Linked DNA regions of Canis lupus familiaris. The protein of the gene in region 3 interacts with the protein of the main gene of each other region in a pairwise test. Links are inferred from orthologs where the notes say so. Each region holds a gene or a part of one and is shown on either strand. Other genes may lie near its edges.

Region 1 (5,416 bases), on a different chromosome or scaffold from region 3:
AAAAATCCTCTAGAAGTGACATTTGATACACTTTACATAAAATCGATTGTCAGTTTTATTGCTGCTGCCCACAAGGGGAACTCTTATCCTCCAATCAATGAAGTTAGATTATATAGCTGCTTTCTAACTTTCTCAGAGAACAGATTTTCTTAGGTATATTTGAAAAGAGCTTCTATAGAAAGGTGAGTCTCAGAAATTCCCCATGAGATAATAATATCTGTGGCACATAAGAACAGACAACCTAAAAAAGGTATTCGATGTAGGTCTTTTCTAAGACATAGTTATAGGGAAAAAAAAATGGTAATAGAAAAAAATGTAAATTTCTCTTAAAAGACTAAAAAGCGAATATAAAAATCAACATTTGCGATTTTCTGAATATTTGTCAGGGGCTAACCAGTTAGCTTCACAAATAAGTGGGAATCCAACGAAATTAAACTTCAAATACATCTGAAATTTACCCATGTTATCCAAGAAAAATTAAAACACCTCAAACTCCTGAAGCTTCCACTGAAGACTGTCTGTAAAGCAGTGTAGCATCACAGCTAGACAGATCATATCCTGGGCCAATGCCTACCCTCCCCGCTTCCTAGCTGCTTACCTCCAGCTCAGTAATCTAACTTCTCAGCTTCCCTATCTTTAAATGCAATTAACAGCTTTCTTTCCCATCAAGGTTCCAAAGGATTAACTGAGATCCTACAAGGACTCAGCTGGCTTCAGCCCTTTCCGGGTACTTCTCTTGCACTCACCGTCAAGCACTCTCCTACTCCCTCCCTCATAAGGCTTCAGAGTTCTGTAGACCAGGATCATCTTTCCCTAGCCCTCACTCAGACTCTTTCCTTTACCCTTTGTAAGGGTAAACCTACATTCTTCATAACCATCTTACTAATACATCCACATATCCAAATCCCGGAATTCTTTTCAAGATTTAGCTAACCTGAGGATCCCTGGGCGGCTCAGCAGTTGGGCTCCTGCCTTCCGCCCAGGGCATGATCCTGGAGACCTGGGATCAAGTCCCGCACCGGGCTCCCTGCATGGAGCCTGCTTCTCCCTCTGCCTGTGCCTCTCTCTCTCTCTCTCTTTCTCATGAATAAATAAATAAAATATTTAGAAAAAAAAAAGATTTAGCTAACCTAAATTCTCTCAAGCAACATGAATACCACCTCCTCCAAAAGGCCCCCTAATTCCTACAGATCAATGCTTCTCTACCAGACTGCAACCAATCACCTGGGGAATTTTTTTAAAAATCCCTGAAACTTAGTCAAAATCACATTGACTGTCCATCTGAGGGGTGGCCCAGGCCCCAACCATGAAAGTGACCTCTCACGCTGAGACCCCCATAGCACTTCCCCAGTACTCCACCTGAAGCACTCTGTACTTTTAAGATTTTATGTATTTATTCATGAGAGACATGGGGGTGGGGGAGACACAGACACAGGCAGAGGGAGAAGCAGGCTCCCCGCAGGGAGTCCAATGCTGGACTCGATCCCAGGACCCCGGGGTCATGCCCTGGACGCTCAACCGCTGAGCAACCCAGGGGTCCCCAGCTTTCTCTATGTGTAACTTGGACGAATGGTGTCCTTTTCCCAGGTGCCGCCTTTTACGTCATTAGCACTCACATAGCACGGAAAGAAAAAAAAAAAGCTCTAGATCTTACTCCGTAAAAACGTGCAATTCCTTTCTTGAACGTTTAAGCAATGCCCAGGACAAACTCAAACTATTAAAATCTCTTCGAATAATCCTGAGGGAAGACTCGCCCAATGACGTGATCAACCTGCAAGAGCGACAGAAGTTTGGGTATCCTATTTAAAAAAAAAAAAAAAAAGCCTTATTTTGATGTTCATAGAAATGAGAGGCCTTAAAAAAAAATCAAATAGGAGGTTTAAAAAGATTTTAATGAAAGTATGTTTGGGGGAAGCCTGGGTGGCTCAGCAGTTGAGCACCTCCCTTCGGCCCAGGGCGTGACCCCGGGTGTCCTGGGATGGAGTCCCACGTGGGGCTCCCTGCAGGGAGCCTGCTTTTCCCTGTGTGTGTCTCTTGTGAATAAATAAATAAAATCTTTAAAAAAAAAAAAAAAAGTATGTTTGGGGCACCTGGGTGGCTCAGTGGTTGAACATCTGCCTTCGGCCCAGGTTGTGACCCCAGGGTCCCGGGATCGAGTCCCACATCGGGCTCCCTGCGAGGAGCCTGCTTCTCCCTCTGCATGGGTCTCTGCCTCTCTCTCTCTGTGTCTCTCATGAATAAATAAATAAAATCTTTAAAAAAAAAAAGTATGTTTGGGGGACACCTGGGTGGCTCAGCAGTTGAGCGCCTCCCTTGGGCCCAGGTCATGACCCCGGGGTCCCGGGATCCAGTCCCGCATTGGGCTCCCTGCATGGAGCCTGCTTCTCCCTCTCGAGTGTGTCTCTCATGAATAAAATAAATAAAATCTTTAAAATGATAATGATAAAAAAAAAGTATGTTCTCTTCCATGCCTTTTATATTTTTTCTTTTCAAACGCCATTGCATCCCAAGGAGTAACATTACCAAGTGCCATCTGGGTGCACGCAGGGACACCAGGTTGCAAGTACGCTGACGGGCGCTTCCTGCCCCTTAAAGTCCCGGAAAATACCAAGTTCTTGGTGAAATGCAAAAGCCACGTTAACAATCATCCGGTCGGCGGGGCAGCCCGGGGGGCTCAGCGGTTAGCGCCGCCTGCAGCCCAGGGCGTGACCCCAGGGTCCCGGGATCCAGTCCCGCGTCGGGCTCCCTGCGTGGAGCCTGCTTCTCCCTCTGCCTGCGCCTCTGTGTCTCTCATGAATAAATAAGTGAATCTTTAAAAAAAAAATCATCAGGTCGGCTAAATGCACGGAAGCGGCCCCGGCGCCCCAGGTCTCCGCGGGCGCAGCAGCCCGGCCCCGGCCCCGAAGGACCCAGGACCCTGCAAAGCTCGAGAGCTCAGAGCACAGGCGGGGAAGGGGAGCCCCGAGCCAGCGCCCCCGACCGCGGCCGCGACCAGGCCAGCACTCGCCCACCGCCCGCAGGAGACCCAGGCACCCCCAGGCACCCCCAGGCACCCCGCGCTGCGCGCTGCTCACCCCCCCGGGAGGCTCCAAGCCGCCGCCGCACTCGCAGCCTCAGCGAGACCCCCGCAGCTCGCTGGGCGCCGCCATCTTGGCAAGAGAGGGGTCCTTGCTCTCAAGCCCCCAAGCCGGTCGCCCCGAGCGGAGCCGTACAGCAGGGAGTCCCTCGCCCCCACCGCCTCGGCGGCCCCCGCGTCGCGACCCCGCACCCCGGAAGCGCCCTTGCGCTGGGGACCCACAGACACAGCGCGGGAAAGTCAAGGCGCCCCGGAAGCCCGGCTCGGGCCCTCAGGCAGCGCGGAGGGCAGCCCCAGCGCGAGGGGGCGGGTCCTCCGCGGCCGGGGGCGGGGCGTCGAGCGGCGGCGCGCTCGGTAACCATGGCAACGCGGCGGCGGGCAGCTCTCGGGCGGCGGGCTCTGGGCGCTCGAGGCGTCCTCGGGCTCGGCCCCGTCCCGGCGGCTTCCCCTCTGCCCGCCTCGGCCCGCGGGGGGGGGGAGGGGGGAGCGGCCGCGCCCGGGGCCCGCCTCCCGGCCGGCGCCTCCCCCTCGGGCTGCCCCGAGCCCGCCTGCGCCCGCCTGCGCCTGCCTGCCGAGCTCCCGGCCCGCTGGCCGCCCCGGCCCGGCTCCGCCGCGCGGTTCACGCGTCCGCGGCTTTGCCGAGCGGGTTGGGTGACGTCGGGGCCTTCCCGAAGACGCCCCGCTTCGCGGGTTTGTTTGTTTGTTTCCCCCTTTCCAAAATGGCAGCCTCCAGCCGCGCACAAGTGTTAGATCTGTACCGGGCGATGCTGAGAGAGAGCAAGCATTTCAGCGCCTACAACTACAGGTGACGCGGCGGGCGGCGGGCGGCGGGCGGCGGGGCCGGGGGCGGCTTGTGTCTGTCCCGCGGCGGCGGCTTCGGGCCCGGGTGCGGAGCCTCCGCCGCCCACCTGCCTCCCAGGCCGGCCAGCGCGGTCCCGGCGCCTCGGGGGGAGCGAGGGGCGGAGAGGACACGTGCAGGGGAGCAGGGGGGCCTCGGACACCTGGGGGCGGGGGGGAACCTCTGATACCTGGGGCGGAGCAGGGGGGCCTCGGATACCTGGGGACGGGGGGCAGGGGGGCCTCGGACACCTGGGGGCGGGGGGCAGGGGGGCCTCGGATACCTGGGGGGGAGCAGGGGGGCCTCGGACACCTGGGGGGGAGCAGGGGGGCCTCGGACACCTGGGGGCGGGGGGCAGGGGGGCCTCGGACACCTGGGGGCGGGGGGGAACCTCTGATACCTGGGGCGGAGCAGGGGGGCCTCGGATACCTGGGGACGGGGGGCAGGGGGGCCTCGGACACCTGGGGGCGGGGGGCAGGGGGGCCTCGGATACCTGGGGGGGAGCAGGGGGGCCTCGGACACCTGGGGGGGGAGCAGGGGGGCCTCGGACACCTGGGGGCGGGGGGCAGGGGGACCTCGGACACCTGGGGGCGGGGGGCAGGGGGACCTCGGACACCTGGGGGGGGAGCAGGGGGACCTCGGACACCTGGGGGCGGGGGGCAGGGGGACCTCGGACACCTGGGGGGGGAGCAGGGGAGCCTCGGATACCTGGGGACGGGGGGCGGGGGGGCCTCGGACACCTTGGGGGGAGCAGGGGAGCCTCGAATACCTGGGGACGGGGGGCAGGGGGATCTCGGACACCTGGGGGCGGGGGGCAGGGGGACCTCGGACACCTGGGGGCGGGGGGCAGGGGGACCTCGGACACCTGGGGGGGGAGCAGGGGAACCTCGGATACCTGGGGACGGGGGGCGGGGGGGCCTCGGACACCTTGGGGGGAGCAGGGGAGCCTCGAATACCTGGGGGCGGGGGGGCCTCGGACACCTGGGGGGGAGCAGGGGTGGCCTCGGACTCCTGAGGGGGAGCAGGGGAGCCTCGGATACCTGGGTACGGGGGGCGGGGGGGCCTCGGACACCTGGAGGGGGAGCGGGGGGGCCTCGGACACCTGGGGGGGAGCAGGGGGGCCTCGGACACCTGGGGGCGGGGGGGAACCTCTGAGACCTGGGGGGGAGCAGGGGGTCCTCGGATACCTGGGGTGGGAGCAGAGTGTCCTCTGAAAACCTCGGTGGGAGGGGAAGCAAGGCGCCCTCTGAAACCTGGAGAAGAGAGCAGGGGGAGGGGGCTCGGCCTTCATGGTATCAGGGAAGAGGTTCCAATCCTGTGATGGTTCCCTGGGTGGCTCTCTGGGGGCGCGCTGACCGCTGTGCTTCCGCAAGCCTCAGGCTCAGGGCCGGTTTGTGGCGCGTGTAGAACTTCCCCGGGGGATGGAAGAGTTGGTCGTGGAAGTGAGCGAGCAGCCTCTGGGAAAGCTGAAGCCTCGCTGCAGCGAGGTGCCTTGACTCGCT
Region 2 (5,669 bases), on a different chromosome or scaffold from region 3:
CAAGGAAGGAAGCAGGGAAATGTTACAGTGGCCCATGTGTACATGTTTGCCGACTTGATTCACAGGTACTTCGTGTTCTCAGTTTCCCCTCTCACAGCCATCAGGAGTTGCACAAATGGTACAGCCTCTCACAGGTGTGAAGAGTTCCATGAGACACTCATGCTCTTTCACAGTTTTAATTTGAGTTTGTTTTGCCTTTTCTGGCAAACATGGATTTTTAGCATTAAACTTAACTGCTGGATCTCGAAGGAAAGACACTGGCTTCCCTGTGTCCTCAGTGGATACTCAGCTAGCACTTGCCTTGGAGTCAGGCAGATGAATAATATTCATGCCATTCTAAGGCTGTGAATTAACTCCTTCCTCCCTTACACTTTCAGAAGGAAAACTCAGCACAGGGTGATCACAGAACACCTAGCAAGGACCCCAGCATGAGCTTCTGAAGAGCTGTGTGCCCTTCAGCTGTCATTTCACTACTTTGTTTTCCCATTCGTGAAATGAGGAACTGCACCATACATCTTTGTAATGTGAAGACTATGTCATAGTCTATGTGAAGTTACAGACACAAGTGGAGGTAGGGTAGAGGAAACAGGAATGAGGAAACTAACCAGGGTTTTTCCCACTTTCAGTCCCTGAAAGGACAACCACTGACACTGATTCAAACTTTGAATGACTTTCCTCATCTAACACACTTGAGAGCAGCAAACTTCCAGTTATTCAAGATCCAATAAAAAGAAAAGCTAAGCTAACTCAGTTTTCTTCTCATATAGCACTTTACTTAAAAAAGGAAATGACAAGCAACAAGCCCAAATCTGCTATTTATTCCAAAACTAAATTTCTAAAGGGTGATAGGATCAGTTGTTTTCCAGGATAACATACATTTGGCCTGACTCTCACATCATCCATAGCCCTGTTCGACAAAATAAAAATTGTGTTTCTCATGATTCTAAGACCTTGGGGGGGGGGGGCAGGTAGATAAAGCCTAAATTATAGCAGTAATGTAATATGGACAGTAAAACTTTAATGGTAAGAATATAATTTAGAGCACCTGTGTGGTTCAGTCAGTTAAACATCCCATTCTTGGTTTGGCTCAAGTCAGGATCTCAGGGTAGTGGGATTGAGTCCTGCCTTTGGCTTGGCACTGACCATGGAGTCTGTCCCTGTCCCCCCTTTCCTCCCCCTACTGCCTCTCTCGCTCTCAAATAAATAAATAAATAATAAATAAATACAATCTTTTAAGAAAATGAATATAGTTTGAATATAGTTTGAATTGTACTTCTTTTAAAATGGCTGGCTATTTTCAGATTTTCATTTATCTTATTCAACTTCACTTAATAGAGTTTATCTGCAAAAGGGCTATTTTTTTTCTAAAGATTTTATTTGTTTATTCATGAGAGACAGAGACAGAGAGAGAGACACGTAGGCAGAGGGAGAAGCAGGCTTCCTGTGGGGAGCCGGATGAGGGACTCATTGGGGATCAGGACCTAAGTCCAAGGCCGACTCAACCACTGAGCCACCCAGGTGCCCCAAAAGGGCTATTTTTGAGGATAAAATGATTTACCAGAGGTGATAGCAATTTGGTAAGTTTTGTACATATGTGCCATTCTTCAGAAATGTGAAACGACTGTACAGATTTATCTAGGAAATTGCACTCATGGGCCAAATCTACGCCTGCATAGGACTTCCACGTGTTTATTCACTTTCTAAAGCTCCAAGTCGTTAGTATTCCGTCCGCAATCCGAAGCCTCTCAGGCGGGGGCCTGGCTGGCTCTGCGGGTAGGGCATGCGCAATCTTGATTTCCCTGTTCTGAGTTCAGGCGGGTGCTCGTGTTTACTTAAACAAACAAACAAAAAACCCTTTTAGGAGGTGAGGAGACTAAGATTAGAGAGAGGTGCCCTTGCTCCTGCGCCCTGCGCCCTGGGAAGGGAACGATACCGTTAAGGAAGCCTATAAACTGGCACCTGCGCGCGCGGCTCTCGGTGCCCCCGCGAACCCGAGGGCCAGAGCGGGCAGGGGCGGGCAGGGCGCCCACCCGACTGGGAGGACCGAGGCTGGGCTGCCGTCCTGCGGGCGGGCCCCGGGGAGCCGGCTGCCCCGCGGTCCCGGAAGGTCTGGGCGGCGGAGTTCCGCGCGGGCGCGGGCGCGGGCGCTCGTCGGCGGGGGCGGGAGCGCGGTGCCGGGCCGCGGAGGAGGCCCGGACCCACGGCAGGCACAGGCCCCGCGGGTGCTCCGGCGCTCCCGGCTCGCCCACCCCCGCCGGCCGCCTGGGCTTGGTGACGCGCCCGCGCCCCTCCCGGTGCCCCAGAAGTGCTCGCCTTCCCCCTGGGGCCGGCGCCTCCCGCGCCCCCACCCGCACGGTCCCGCGTTCTGCCCCCTGGCCCCGCCGCCCCCCGCACCTACCGGGCGGGGCCCGCGCTCCCCAGCAGGTGGCCCCGGGCCACGCGGCGTCCAGCGGGGCCGAGACGGAGGGAAGGCGGCTCAAACCCTCGGCCTCGCTTGTGCAAACAGTGTCCCTGCGCGCCCGCCCGCCCGCGCTGCCCCACCCGCGGCCCGCGTGCCCCAGCGGCTGACTGGGTGCTCGCGGCCCCACCCGGGCCCCTGGACGCGCTCCAGGCCCAGGCGTCGGCGCGGCCTGCTGCCCCAGGGGACCCCCCAGCCCGGGCACCCGGCCCCGAGCTGCCGCGTGTGGGGGCCAGGCCGCCGCCCCCCACCTGCAGCCCGCCGAGGCCGCCGCGCCCTCTCGGCCGCGGGACGCAGTGGTGTCAGCGGCCCGGGCCTGCTCCGCCGCGGGGCTCAAGGGCTCCTGCAAGCCCGGGCCTGCGGAGGCGGGAGGCCTCGGTCACACGGACAGCCCCAGCAGGCCGAGTCAGCTCACCTCCCGGGTCGCCTCCCGACTCCCGGAGCTTACTCTACCCGCCCCGCCCCCGTTTGTTGACATTAAAGTCATTTATCAGACACTCGGGCACTTGTCAGCACAGGCCACAAAGCTTTGTAGGGCAGAATCAAGGAGGCGAAAGGCTGGAAAGATGCAGGCTGCAAACAACAGACACGGAGGGAAAAATGAAAGAACTCTGGAGAAAGGAAAGAAGGTAAAGGAATCTTGTGAATAGCAGCAAGAACAGGTTGGGGTGGTGCCGGAAGGGAGGAGCTGACGGAGTACAGGAAAGTTGGGCAGAAGCGAGTAGAAACGTTGCAGGGCGTTTTCCATTGTGCAGGAGCGTTGGGAATGTGCGCGGAGAAATAGCCTGCTCTGGGGAACCCCACCCTGCGCATGGTGGGGAGGAGTCAAGAACACTGAGCCTTCTCTAGTCCTCTCCACAGCCCACCTGATACATTCAGGGGTCTGATTGGCTTCCTTCAAAAGTGAAACTTTCTTCTTCCTAACTTCTCTAGACCTCAGAAGTTACTCAAAGTTAGAAAGAGCCTTGGGGGCAGAGAGAAGTCCTTGAGAACCTATTTAGGAACCATTCTAGGGATCGCATCAGGGGAGAATTTCTGGTTTACTTTTGGTTCCCACTGCTTATTAAATGAATGGCCTGTGACTGCATTTGGCTGGATTGTCTCTTGCCCCTGGGTAGCGGCTGTGGCCAGCTGAAAATGAATCCTCCCATTTCATGGATCCAGCAGTTGAAGAACTAACAGGTGGTTCATCAGTCAGTAAAATTTTCCTACAACGGACACTGGTTGCAGCGGATGACCTTCCCCGACGCTCAAGTTCATGTGCTGATAAGTCTTTCTTTATAAGAGTACTCCCACTTGGCCACTAACCTGTCTGTACTTCGGTTTTCCCTTCTGGATAATAACAACGCCTACCTCATGAAGTTGTTGTGAAGGTTAAATGAGATGATATATGTAATGTGCTTAGAATAGTTCGTGGACTGGTGAATGTACAAATACATTAGCTTATACTATTTCACATCACATACTGCAGTTTCAAGTTATAACTTCATACTCAGACCTTGGATTTTGCCTTGTGTGGTACCTAGACTCCATGTTAACCTCAGTGATCCATCCCCACCTCCTCAGTATGTCACTTCTGAGATTAGGTTGTAAAAGACGTGAGCACATGCCTGGCTGGGCATCCAGCACTGGTCTTTGAGGCACGACTGTGAGAACACCAGCCTCAAATTTGTAGTGCACTTTCTGGCCCACCAGCAGCCTGGGTGACTGCTAAGTGTTCTCCATGCAAGCAGTGGGCAGAGCCGCTAACCCTGTGAACAAGATGGGAGATGCTGAAGCAGGCAAGAAGATCTTTATTTAAAAATGTGGGGGCACCTGGGTGGCTCAGTCGGTTAAATGTGCGCCTTCCACTCAGTGGTGATCAGGGTTCTGGGATCCAGCCACACATGGAGCTCCCTGCTCAGTGAGGAGTCTGCTTCTCTCTCTCTCTCTGCCTGCCGCTCCCTCTGCTTGTGCTCTCTCTCTCAAATAAATAAATAAAATCTTCTTTTTTTTTTTTTTTTTTAAATGTACTCAGTGCCACACAGTGGAAAAAAGTGGAAAACACAAGACTGGTCCAAATCCCTGGGCCTTTTGAGATGAAAAACAGGACAAGCACTAGGATTTTCTTATTCCAGTGCTATCAAAAACAAAGGGGTTATCTGTGGAGAGGAAACTCTGATGGAATATTTGGAGAACCCAAAGAAACATATCCCTGGTCTTTGCTGGTCTTAAAAAGTGGAGTGAAAGAGAAGATCCTACTCTATATTTGAAACAGGCAACATCTTCATAAAATGCTCTTGCAACTTAAAAAATATTAGTTCTAAGTCAAAACTTTCTAATTTCAAATATTGCATGTTTAAAGAAGTCATTTTTGATCTTACTTGATCAGCCTGTAATAAGTTTAACATTTAAAAATAAGAGTTGAAATTAACAAAATAAATAAAAATAATTTTTTTAAAAAAACCTTGTAGCTTGTCTTGGTTTCTCTCTCTCTCTCTTTCTCTCTCTCTCTCTTTCTCTCTTTCTCTTTCATCTTTCACTCTAAAGGAAGTCAACTGCTCCGTCATGAGCAAACCTTTGGGGAGGAATTGAGGACTCCTGCCAACAGCCACAGAATCAATTTGGAAGTGAATCCTCCAGCCCTAGTCAAGCCTTTGGGTGGCTGCAGCATTGGCTTATAGCTTCGGTACAAATTCATGCAACCACCTAATTAAGCCACTCTCCAATTCCTAATCAACAACACTGAGGTAGTAAATTTGTGCTATATGAAGCTACTAAGTTTGAGGAAATTTGTTACATGGCAATGCATAACTAATATATACCTCCTCATTAGTCTTGTTTCTAAGCCAGTTTTAGATAGCTTTTGTGTACAGAAAATTTCATATACTGGATAACTTCTGTAAATGCAGATCCAAGGACCTCACCTCAGAGCTAGGGAATATAATGTCTGTGAGGCCCAGGCAATAAGCACTCCAAGTGATTAGATCAAAAATGGGGTTACAGATCATGCTTTCAGAAATTCTGCTCCAGACTCTCCTGAATGCAGTTGCCAAAGTCATCTTTTTTAAACATTAACTCTAATCCTTCATATTTGGTTGCTAAAAATCCTTTGATGACCACTCCTTCTTGTTTCAAGTAAGACGAAACCTCCTGTCAGCTTTCAAGGACGAGGGCAGCCTAGTATTCATCTTCCTCAGCTTTATCATCTCCCTAATACAGACCCTGCATT
Region 3 (5,640 bases):
AGCAAACCATTCTTCCACGTCTCTACGGTTGTTGGCCAGCACGGTTTCATACTGACAACGCATCTCTTCCAGGACCCTGTTGAGGTCGATGGTGGGGGCAGTGTCCAGCTCTACACTGAGTCGGTCACCCAACTGTCCACGAAGCAAGTCAACCTCCTGAAAGAGGAAATGGAGTAAAGAAAGTCACAGAGTGGTGGGGAAGAAGAATTCACCTTGACATCCCAAGAGCATCCAATTTCTGGAGAAGTGAGTAAAAGTGTGGGATTTAGATTCAGATTGCTTAGGTTGACTCTCTTTTCATCATTCAGTCTCTGCATCCACAAAAGGTGTATAATAATTTTACCTTTCCTAGAGAGTTATTGTGAGAGATATGAGTTGATGTTCATATAAAGCACTTATGAAAGTCCTTGGCACATAGGAAGGTCTCAATAAATGCTATTATCATCAACACATGCTCAAAGGGAAAATATACCATTTTACATCATTAAGTTTTTCACTTTTTAGCTTTATCAACATGAGATAGTCATATACTTCGTATTTTATGATTTAGAAAGTTTATAGATGTAGAATATTTTAAAATATTGGTCCAAATATTGCATAAGATGTTATCCCCTTTCTGAAATGGCCTTCATGCCCTGTGTTTATCAGCCTGATTTTTGTAGCTTATGGATTAGAGTTATGTGGCATAAAGCCTCCAAGGAAAGCCATTTGTAAAGTTACCTCCTTCACGAAAGCAATAGCAGGTGAACAATTTGGTCTTTCAAGTGGTACTAGCCAGGGCCCATTTCACATATACACCCAGAGATATGCCAGAGTCATCAGGCTGGACATTAGTGCCTCGAGTAATTTTGTTCCAGCTTTAGCAATATCTGCCCGAGTTTGATTTATATACACAAAACGAAATCTATCAGTTTGACTTTGTCACCTCCACATTCATTCAGCAATTTTACACTTTCCTTACCTCTTTGTGGTTTTTCTTAAGGCAAAGGAGATCTTCCTTCAGAGACTCCACATGGGCCTCCAGATCAGCTTTGCACAGAGTCAGCTCATCCAGGATCCCACGCAGGCCACCAATGTCCGTCTCTATCAGCTGGCGAAGAGACAGTTCAGACTCATACCTTTCACAGCAAAAGAGATACAGATGGTGCTTATTTTGCTAGACACTGTGCAAGATGCTGGGCATGCTGATGAATGACACAACGACTCAAGGAAGCTATATCCCAATTAATGTGAGCTTTGTGAGCATTCTTAGCTTAAAAAAAGCTTATGTAGAGAATATTTGTAGTGTGCACGTGTGTGTGTGTGTGTGTGTGTGTGTGTGAGAGAGAGAGAGAGAGAGACAGCCATGAATTATTTTCAAATTCAAATTTAACTTACTTTGACCTAAAGTCATCAGCAGCCAGTTTGCAGTTGTCAAGTTGCACAGCAAGTCTGGAATTTTCTGCCTTCGTGCATAAGATCTGGTAAGTAAGTTAGTTATATATACTAGAGGGCTCTTTGAAAGAAACTTAAATATTTATTCATTTAACAACTATACCATTATTTATCTTTTAAAAGTCTTTATAAGACAGTATAAAATAGCTTGAAGCCTATTTTTCTTATTAAGCATGTCACTTCAATGAAGAAAAAAGCAGGACCATTCATAAAATAAATATAGAAATAAAAAGGGTCCGTTTTTCAGTGGCCTAAAACATTTTGCAATATTCCTTGGCAGTTGAACTTGGATTTTTCTCCATAGGTAGTTGTGAGTGAGTTTATTTTGGCCATTCAATGATTACTGGCAGCCCCACGGCTCATGCTAATTTTTGCTGAATTTCAGCCCACCACCTTTTCCTCCTGGAGAACCCCTTTCCCTGGGGATGGGGGGAACTTCCATAGAACAGCCTTTTTTTTAGTATAAAGATAAAGCAAATCACAGATTGGGAGGGTGAAGCATTAGGGCAATGAAACACCAGACCTTTTGCTGAAGCTCTTCAATAGTGTCAAAGTAACACTGATAATCAGGGCACACCAGTGGGATATCCTCTTCACATTGTTCTCGAATCCTGCATTCGAGCTCTGCGTTCATCTCTTCCAGGCCACGGACCTTCTCTAGATAGTTGGCAAGTCTGTCATTCAGGAACTGCATCGTCTCCTTCTCATTGCTGTTGAACACCCCATCCTCACACCAAGCACAGTTCCCCACCAAGCAAGGAATATTATAATTCCCAGCAAAGTAGCATGGTGTGAGGCAACTAGTTGGCAAGCGAGACCTGGATAGGAAGCTAGGGGTCTGGCATCTGGATGTAGCAGGGGCACTGGGGAGGCAGGTGGCCTCCATGGAACAGGTTGAAGCAAGTGCACAGTCGGAAGCCTGGGCACAGGATTCAGAAGAGCAGCACGTGGGGAAACAGTCAGAAGTCATCCTATTAGAAGTGAAGAACAAGACTAGTTGCAAAACTCCAATTGACTGGTTCCCAGAGTCTCCATCCCTCCTGAGACTTTTATACAGCCTGCAAATGGGTATTTACAGAACATACCGGATGTTCTGTTTATCACTGTTGGTGCCAGTTTTCATATGAACATTCATTAGTGTTGTTTGTTTTCTGAGGAAGTTTTATGCCTCATAAAAGAGGCATAGCTTCAGGTTACTAAGTAAGGGCAATATTTCCATCTGCCAGTAGGATAAGACGCTTGGTTCAGAGAATCTTCATGAGATGCATTATCTTTTTGGTAGAATACAGAAAGGCAGAGGACATTTGGCACTCAGTAATTGCAGATACAACTGATTACAAATAACAAAAATGATATTATCACAGATTTTGCTCCTGTATTGTAAATTGTTTATCTATCCTTTTAAAATTCATATTACATCTCATTAAATGCCATTTATTTGTTTGTGTACCATCATAAAATGTTCCATGTAGTTAACCATCTTTGCAATGCTTTTTATGGTCTTGTTGTGCTCACATGGTAGAGGAGTGAGGTGTGTACTGGGTTTAAAGTGTGTGTGCACATGCATATGTGTGTGTGTGTGTGTGTGTGTATGAACTACATCTACCTGTGTGCAAATTGAAAAGTCACTTTATAAATAACTGATGGGCATAATCTGTGGCCTGCAGGCCAAAATACAAACTGGTTATCAAGATCTGGAGTTGTGATCTTTGATTTCCTGAAACTTGCTTTCTCTATGTTACCTATGCCTCATTTTTAGATTATGTATACTATTTTCACCTGTATTAATAATAAGAGTGAAATACAATTTCTAAGTTACAATCTTTTAGTTTCTTGGGAAACTAAACCCTCATTGGATACAGTTCAGAATAGGGGCAAGGAAGCTATAAAAGACTTTTCTTCTGAGATAGAATCTGTTTTCTCTTATTTACTTATTTTTTTAAGGTCACAATTTCATAAAAATGTGAAATACTGGCGTTGGGGAATAAAATTTTATAATTTGAGTTCCAGACCAGGAGTTCCATTGGATGAAATCCCTGGTGCAGTACCAAATGGATAGCGATTTGAGACATAACTTTTTTGGATTTTGTTTTGAATTTCATCTCTATTATGTATGTAGCATAATCTCTTTCACTTTCCTTGGCATAATTGTGGTATGTATTTCATTTTCAAAGGTGGGCAGAACAGATTGCCTCTAGAATCTTTAAGATTTTTACTGGAAAAGGCCCACTATTCTGACAAAGTTAAAATTTTCATGATCCAGAAAAAACTAAAAATTTTTTTCTAACTCTGAACACTACTTCCTAGGTAGCTGATGATGGAAAAACCAAAACCAAAAACAAACCAAGAGGTCTTAAATAGATGGACTTAAATAGTCCCTTAGTATGTATTACTCTCCCATCTAAATACTAACCGGGCCTGACCCTGCTTAGCTTCCAAGATCAGATAGGATTGGAACACTTTCAGGGTGGTATGGTTGTAGACTCTTGGGTTTGATTTTAGTGATTCTCTTCACATTTCAACACTTAATGCTAAATGTTCTTTTTTTATCTTTCAAGATTTTATTTAAATTCAAGTTAGTTTACATATAGTGTAGTATTAGTTTCAGGGGTAGAATTTAGAATTTAGTGATTCATCAGTTGCATACAACAACCAGTGCTCATACCATCACTTGCCCTCCTTAATACCCATCACCCAGTTACCTCATCCCCCCACCCACTTCCCCTCCAGCAACCCCCAGTTTGTTACCTATGTTTAAGAGTCTCTTATGGTTTGCCTCCCTCTCTGTCTTTGTCTTATTTTATTTTCCCTCTCCCTTCCCCATGTTCATCTGTTTTGTCTCTTAAATTCCATATGAGTGAAATCATATGGTATTTGTCTTTCTCTGACTGACTTATTTTGCTTAGCATAACACCACCCATGCCATTGTTGCAAATGGCAAGATTTCATTCTTTCTGATGGCTGATTAATATTTCATTATATGTAATGGAATATTATATATATATATATATATATATATATCACATCTTTATCCATTCATCAGTTGTTGGACATTGGGGCTCTTTCTATGTTTTAGCTATTGTGGATTGTGCTGCTATAAACATTGGGGTGCATGTGCCCCTTCGAATCACTATTTTTGTATCCTCTGGGTAAATATCTAGTAATGCAACTGTTGGGTGGTAAGGCAGTTCTATTTTTAACTTTTTGAGGAACTTCTATACTGTTTCCCAGAGTGGCTGCACCAGCTTGCATATCCACCAACAGTGTGTGAGGGTTTCCCTTTCTCTGCATCCTCACCAACATCTGTTGTTTCCAAGTTGTTAATTTTAGCCATTCTGACCAGTGTGAGTTGGTATGTCATTGTGTTTTTTTTTTATAAATTTATTTTCTCATTGTGGTTTTGATTTGTAGTTCCCTGATGATGCATGATGTTGAAGATTTTTTTAAAGATTTTATTTATTTATTCATGAGACACACACACACACACAGAGGAGAGAGAGAGAGAGAGAGAGAGTCAGAGACACAGGCAGAGGGAGAAGCAGGCTCCATGCAGGGAGCCCAACGTGGGACTCGATCCCAGGTCTCCAGGATCATGCCCTGGGCTGAAGGTGGCGCTAAACCGCTGAGCCATCCGGCTGCCGGATGTTGAAGATTTTTTAATGTGTCTGTTAGCCATTTGTATGTCTTCTTTAGAGAAATGCCTGTTCATGTCTTCTGCCCATTTCACATTCTTGGAGTACTGATGGTATATTAATGCTGTTCTGCAATAGATGGGAGTTCAAGGAATCAAAAACATATTTGAAAATTGAAAGTTACAAATCTCTGAAAAAAAAAATCTAATTTCCACAGTAACTGAATGAGAATCCGTGTCTTGGTTGTCTGTCATAGGTTTCAGCTAATTAAAATGCAGCATTGTGTCATTATTTTAAAGTAACTGCAGGTAAAAATAAGAAATATTTTCTTTTATCTTGAGCTAATTTCTATTTGTAAAATGTTGACATATGGAGAGAGAGAGAGAAAGAGAGAGAAAAGTAGTGAGAGAACAAACACACAGGACTATTTATTTTGGGCTTGATTAATTAGATAGTATTGTATGACGATCTATAGCTTTAGTTCTCATCTTAGAATATTGAAATTACTGGGGCACCTGAGTAGCTCAACTGGTTAAGTGTTCTGACTCTTAATCTCAACTCAGGTCTTGATCTC
Region 4 (5,498 bases), on a different chromosome or scaffold from region 3:
GGGCACTCCCCCCACCTCCCCGCGCTAGCTGGGTGGTAAGCCTTTACCAGAAGCACACCACTACTGGGGTGGGGGTCAGAATCCAGACTTGGGATTGGGATTTCCATGGCAGCGTGGAGTCAGAGGTCGGGCTCTGGGCGCGACCAGGGTCGGAGGGCTGGGGCCTGAGGTGGAGGCTGAACGCTCTGAGACTGTAGGTCAGGGGTTGGGCTCTCAGGGGTTGACATTCTTAGGTCAGAGGTTCAGATACTGAGGATGGGGATCGGGTGATCACCTCCTTGCGCTGGGGCACGCGCCGCCACCAGACGTGGTCACAGGAGGAGCAGGCAAACTGCCGATCGACGGCGGGAATGAGGTCTTCTTGCGCACGTTGGAACATGCGGAGGTTGGCTTCTGTCAGTGGCAGGAGGGACGTCGCCACGGCCTTCGGGATAGGGACAAGAGGGTGGTCACGCCTCCTCCGCTAATATGAACACGCGTAAGTCTCCTCTCCTGCTGCTATAATGTCTCTCCTCGTCCATGGACACCATCCACTCTCCCCAAGGATGTCCTCCTCACTCCACCTCCCCCCATCCCATACCCCGGACTCACCTGGATGTCCTGGTCCTGCTTCATGTCCTCCGGTGGGTCCTGGGTGGAAACATCAGGGGCAGGAACTGCGGGTGCAGCTCAGACCTCTTTTTACCATTATTTGTTGGGGGTGAGGCTCCTGGACGAGGAGGGAGGCAGGGTCCTGGCCCCATATGAGTAGGGAGTCCCTAACTCAGGAAGGGCTGTCTGAGCAGGGCCTGCCTGTAGATGGCCAGGTACACGACCTCAGTTGTCCTCACAGTGGAGGGCACACCTATTATCCCCACCGCTCAGACAAAGAAACTGAGGCAGAGCTGGGAGAGGGGTGGCCGGAGATCACCCTGAATGAGAATGGCAGAAGAGGCCTGGATCCCCGCGCTCCCTCCCTGCTGGTAAATGCCACACACTTGGTGGCACTGTGAGGGGTCACCTCTTTGAGTCCATGCCGCTTTAGGCTAAGGGCTTGGGCTCTGGATTCAGACAGACACAGGTTCCCATCCGACTCCAGCACTTCCCGCTGCGAGGGCGGAGCCAAATCACTCCCCCTGCATCCCTAATGAGGGGCATCTCAGAGCGCAGCTATGGTTCTAGGTGGAAACGGCTTAAATGCCACCTGCTTGGCCTGCTTGGCGAGTGCCTTCAGGTTGGAATTGGAGGCAACACGCGGAAAGCCTGCTGCTGGGGAGTGCTCACTTTCCTATAATTTTTTACTTTTATTTTTAATTTGTTTATTATTATTTTTTAAAGGATTTTATTTATTTATTCATGAAAGACACAGAGAGAGAAAGGCAGAGACGTAGGCAGAGGGAGAAGCAGGCTCCAGGCAGGGAGCCCGATGTAGGATTCGATCCTGAGACCAAGGATCACGCCCTGAGCCAGGGGCAGGTGCTCAACCGCTGAGCCACCCAGGCGTCCCTCCTATAATTTTTTAAAGAATTATTTTCAGTAGGCTCCACACCTGATGTGGGGCTTGAACTCACGACCCTGAGATCAAGAGTAGCATGCTCCCCAGACTGAGCCAGCTAGGCGCCCCTCCTATTACCTTTATCATACCCTTTACACATGTAAATATAAATAACTCAATATGTACCTTATTATACTCTTCAGCAACTATGGGGGGGGCCTTATAGGAAGATGAAATGCACAGTGCACTGGCCACCAAAGTCATTTAAGGTGTAAAGTAGCCATGTTGCATTTGTGCCTCAAAGCCATTCATTCATCATATGGGCTCCCCTGCCCTCTCTCCTCCCCCATCTCATGTTTATCTTAGCCTGTCTTGCGTGTTCTTTTGCTCACTCTGTTCCCTCTTCCAGGAAGACTGTTTCCAACTCCCCCACCACCCAGGATCCCTTCTCCCCAGCATCAAAGCTGGCACCACCTCTTCCAGGAAGCCTTTCCCGACTGACCTCCAGGGGTCCTCTGTAATGACATCAGTCCTGATTCATTTCACCGCCCAATTTCACGATTCTCTCCCCCACTTAATACCACCAACATGTAATGAGTGCCGACAGTTTGCAGGCTCCCGGGTCAGACGCATGACTAAAAGGTGACTAAGTCAATGTGGATCATGAACTAGGAACTGGTGGTGCACAGATGGGGCTCATCATGGATACACCAGGTTCCTTCCGTTCCCGGTCCCCAGCTACCCCATCCTTGGAGGGCAAGAGGGGCAGTTTACCTGGGCATCCAGGTCATTACTCAGTTCCTGTCCATCTTTCTGCTTTACCCCTGGTGGCAAGAGTTAAGTGTAAGTAAAAGGTCCTTGAAGGATCTTCTGGGAGTTTCAGGGTCCCCAGAACCCCAATATAGACCCTCCCCAGAAGATGAGCGCGGCGCTTCTTCACACAGACCACACCTCCCTCGCGCGCTCCCCCCTCCTCTCCCCTACCAGGGCCGGGACCCCAGCCGGCTCACCGTACACGATGGAGCGCCCCACTCCGGTGTGGTCGCTGCCAAATTTCCTCATCAGAGTCCCCGCCTTCTTGGAGGATACCTTCCCATGAAACTTCTCCCGGAGGCGCCGGACGCTTTTCTCCAGCTGGGGTGGGCACAGGGGGGTTCCGATCGGGGAAGGAGAGGGGCGACTTGCCCTCCTCCATCTCTAGGCATCCTTCTCCCCGCCCGAACTTGACCCTTGCTTTTGGCCTCCCCCACCATCCCTCTACGGCATTTCCTGGGAGAAGCCAAAGTCCCCACCGGGCATTGGGGGAGGGAGCGGAGTGGGGCGAGCGCCCCCGGCTAGGGGAGGAGGCCGGCCAGGTAACCTGGCCTCTGACCCTTGACCCTGCAGCCCCCCTTTTCCTCGAGGAGGCCGCATCTCACTCTGGGGGGCCGGGGCGGTCATTATCCTTTCCGAGGGGGGGCGAGTGCCCGCCAGGGGTAAGGTCTGGGCTTCGGATGGAGTCCCCAGAACTGCGAAGCCCCCTCGGCGCCCCCGGCGCCTCTCGGGGGCCCCCGGCCCAGGCGCAGGCATCTCCTACCTCCACACCTTCTTGAGACATGGTGGCGGCGGCGGCGGCGCGGGTTCCGCGAGGGGCCGCACTGCGCGCTCGGAGCCCCCCTACCTGGGCGCGCCCGGGTCCAGCAGCCGCGCAGGGCAGGGGGCGGGGCCTCCGGGCGGCTCCGCCCTTCCTTCTCGGCCCCCTCTTTCGCTTTCGATTGCTGGGGGTGACGGCGTGGACGGGGCGCTCTGGCTCCGCCCCGGCTCCGCCTCTGCCCTCGCGCCCCAGGCCCCGCGGGCGCCGGGGGTCTGCACCCTGCGGCGGAGCGCGCGGGCCTCGGGCGGTGGAGGCGGCGCGGCCTCTGCAGTCGGTCACATGTCCCCACGCTGCGCGGGGTCCGCGTCTTCACGTCCCTCGTGGGGGCGGGGCCGCATCGCAAGGCCGCCGCGAATCTCCGGGCCCCCCCCAGCTCGCGCTTCCCCACTTCATCGCTCTCGCAGCTCCCCTCCCTCGGGACCTGGGGCCCCTCCTCGCTCTGAGGCTCTTCCGCGGCTACGTCCGGACCTGTCTGCACCTCAGTTTACTCCTCTGTAAAATGGGGATGATAACAGCGGCTACATCGTGGCTGGGTGTGATTGCCAGGATTCGAGACCCGGGGTGGAGCGCTTAGTAGCACCTGGCATGGGGTAGCCTAACGAGTCACTAAGCCGCCTACTGTGTGCCACAGCTGGAGGTAGTTGGGCGAAGGAGGAGATGCTTGTTGGATAAATAGAGGTCACTGGTGCCTAGCAGTCCAGCAACAGCCTGTAGTCCAGGGGTGCCTGGGAATCTGCACTGTAAATCGGAAGGTTGAGAATCCTCTGGGCCAGCACAATTTTTTTTTTCCCCTGAAATAGGCTCCACACCCAAGGTGGGGCTTGAACTCGTGACCCTGAGATCAAGAGTCACATGCTCCACCCACTGAACCAGCCAGAGGCCCCTATTACATAAAGCTATTCTTTAACACACACGCACACACACACACCAAAAGAAACGGAGATGAAAAAGTATAGATGTTCTAATGTTTTCTACTTGACCTCCAAAGCTTTGTTTGTGGGTCTGTGTGCCCCGTCTGGAGCCTATTAATGAGTGTAAACAGTTCATGGTTCTTTGTGACTGAATGTGGAATTTCAGGCTGAGAGCCAGGCCTGTAGCTGCATAGAGGACCTGGGATTTTATACTGAGGGAGGTGGGGAGGTGTGGAGGGGCTCTCTTGTTATACACGTATCTGTGATATATAGTACATAATCTCCACTTACCAGTGAGGAGAAGGAGGTCGCAGCCAGGGTGGGTGACAAGCAGGGAGGAAACAGGTGGGAAACTGATCCAGCTCCGACATGAACCAGATCTGCTAGATTCTTTCTTTCTTTCTTTCTTTCTTTCTTTCTTTCTTTCTTTCTTTCTTTCTTTCTTTCTTTCTTTCTTTCTTTCTTTCTTTCTTTCTTTCTTTCTTTTCTTTCTTTCTTTCTTCTTTCTTTTTTTCTTTTTTTTCTTTTTTAGAGAGAGGCAGTGAGCCTTTGAACAGGGGGAGAGGGGAGAGGGTGAGGGAGAGAGAGAATCTTAAGCAGGTTCCACACCCAGTGTGAGCCCGAAGTGGGCTAGATCTCACAACCTGGAGATCACATCCTAAGATGCAACCAAGAGTTGGGATGTTTAACTGACAGAGCCACCCAGGCATCCCCAGATCTGCTAGATGCTCACGATGATGGCCATCATATCGAGCTCTGACTCTGCGCCAGGCACCATTCCAGGCACTGAGCATCGAACTGTCTCATATAGTTTTTTGTGGATTAGGAATTTAGGGATGCTTTTGCTGGGCTTTCTGGCCCAGGGTCTCTCATAAATATTGTGGTCAAGATGTTGGCCAGGGCTGCAGTCACCTGAATGTTTGAGGCTGGAGGGTCTGCTTCCAAGATGGCTCATTCAACCTGGCTGGCTGGTGGGTGCTGGTTGTTGGGTGCTGGTTGTTGGTGGGAATGCCTCAGTTCCTCCCTACTCGGGCTGCTCGGCTGCTCGCATGTACTCCCTACTTGGCAGCTGGCCTCCCTAGGGCGGGCCATCCAACCAGAGAAGAAAAGCCAGGTGGGACTTGGAGTTGCATCTTTTATGACCTAGTGTCGGAAGTCACACAGCATCACTTCCACTGCCACCTTTTGGATGTTAAAATCCAGTCACCGGATCTGGCTTCCGTTCAGGGAGAGGGAGATCAAGACCTCACCTGCCGCTCCCATACCCCCATCTCCTGCTGGAGCCTCTCGTTGGCTGCACCACAAGGCAAGGGGAGCAAGGGAGCCAGCCTTGCTATCAGCCCCTGAGGGCAGTTGATTAGGAAGGACAAACAGAAGATACAACCGGAGTATATAGAATGTTGGCCCAATTGTAGATGGAGAGAGAAACCAACGTTTCCAGCAGTCACATGGGGGCGCTGCTTACCCACCAACAGTTCTC

Evidence for each region.
Region 1: the proteins of KRT40 (region 3) and FARS2 interact in binary tests that used the Homo sapiens proteins (3 or more experiments, as listed by UniProt). The two-hybrid records come from large-scale screens. The link is inferred for Canis lupus familiaris from reciprocal best matches to the Homo sapiens genes KRT40 and FARS2.
Region 2: the proteins of KRT40 (region 3) and SH2D4A interact in binary tests that used the Homo sapiens proteins (3 or more experiments, as listed by UniProt). The two-hybrid records come from large-scale screens. The link is inferred for Canis lupus familiaris from reciprocal best matches to the Homo sapiens genes KRT40 and SH2D4A.
Region 4: the proteins of KRT40 (region 3) and SHFL interact in binary tests that used the Homo sapiens proteins (3 or more experiments, as listed by UniProt). The two-hybrid records come from large-scale screens. The link is inferred for Canis lupus familiaris from reciprocal best matches to the Homo sapiens genes KRT40 and SHFL.

The regions. Positions count from the first base shown.
Region 1 is NC_049256.1:6,680,974-6,686,389, reverse strand, and holds the start of FARS2 (phenylalanine--tRNA ligase, mitochondrial), read right to left. Parts: upstream 3,202-5,416; 5' UTR 3,075-3,201; intron 2,741-3,074; exon of another isoform or gene 2,524-2,740; intron 1-2,523. UniProt on the Homo sapiens protein: Is responsible for the charging of tRNA(Phe) with phenylalanine in mitochondrial translation.
Region 2 is NC_049237.1:22,872,957-22,878,625, reverse strand, and holds the start of SH2D4A (SH2 domain-containing protein 4A), read right to left. Parts: upstream 3,202-5,669; 5' UTR 2,874-3,201; intron 2,864-2,873; exon of another isoform or gene 2,710-2,863; intron 2,569-2,709; coding exon of another isoform or gene 1,862-2,568; intron 119-1,861; coding exon of another isoform or gene 43-118; intron 1-42. Other genes in the region: collagen alpha-2(I) chain-like, read left to right, coding at 43-118, 1,862-2,568. UniProt on the Homo sapiens protein: Inhibits estrogen-induced cell proliferation by competing with PLCG for binding to ESR1, blocking the effect of estrogen on PLCG and repressing estrogen-induced proliferation. May play a role in T-cell development and function.
Region 3 is NC_049230.1:21,657,386-21,663,025, reverse strand, and holds the start of KRT40 (keratin, type I cytoskeletal 40), read right to left. Parts: upstream 3,196-5,640; 5' UTR 2,405-3,195; coding exon 1,958-2,404; intron 1,464-1,957; exon of another isoform or gene 1,461-1,463; coding exon 1,378-1,460; exon of another isoform or gene 1,119-1,377; coding exon 962-1,118; intron 247-961; exon of another isoform or gene 157-246; coding exon 1-156. UniProt on the Homo sapiens protein: May play a role in late hair differentiation.
Region 4 is NC_049241.1:51,360,507-51,366,004, forward strand, and holds the start of SHFL (shiftless antiviral inhibitor of ribosomal frameshifting protein), read right to left. Parts: upstream 3,202-5,498; 5' UTR 3,072-3,201; coding exon 3,051-3,071; intron 2,609-3,050; coding exon 2,485-2,608; intron 2,299-2,484; coding exon 2,249-2,298; intron 631-2,248; coding exon 592-630; intron 425-591; coding exon 275-424; intron 1-274.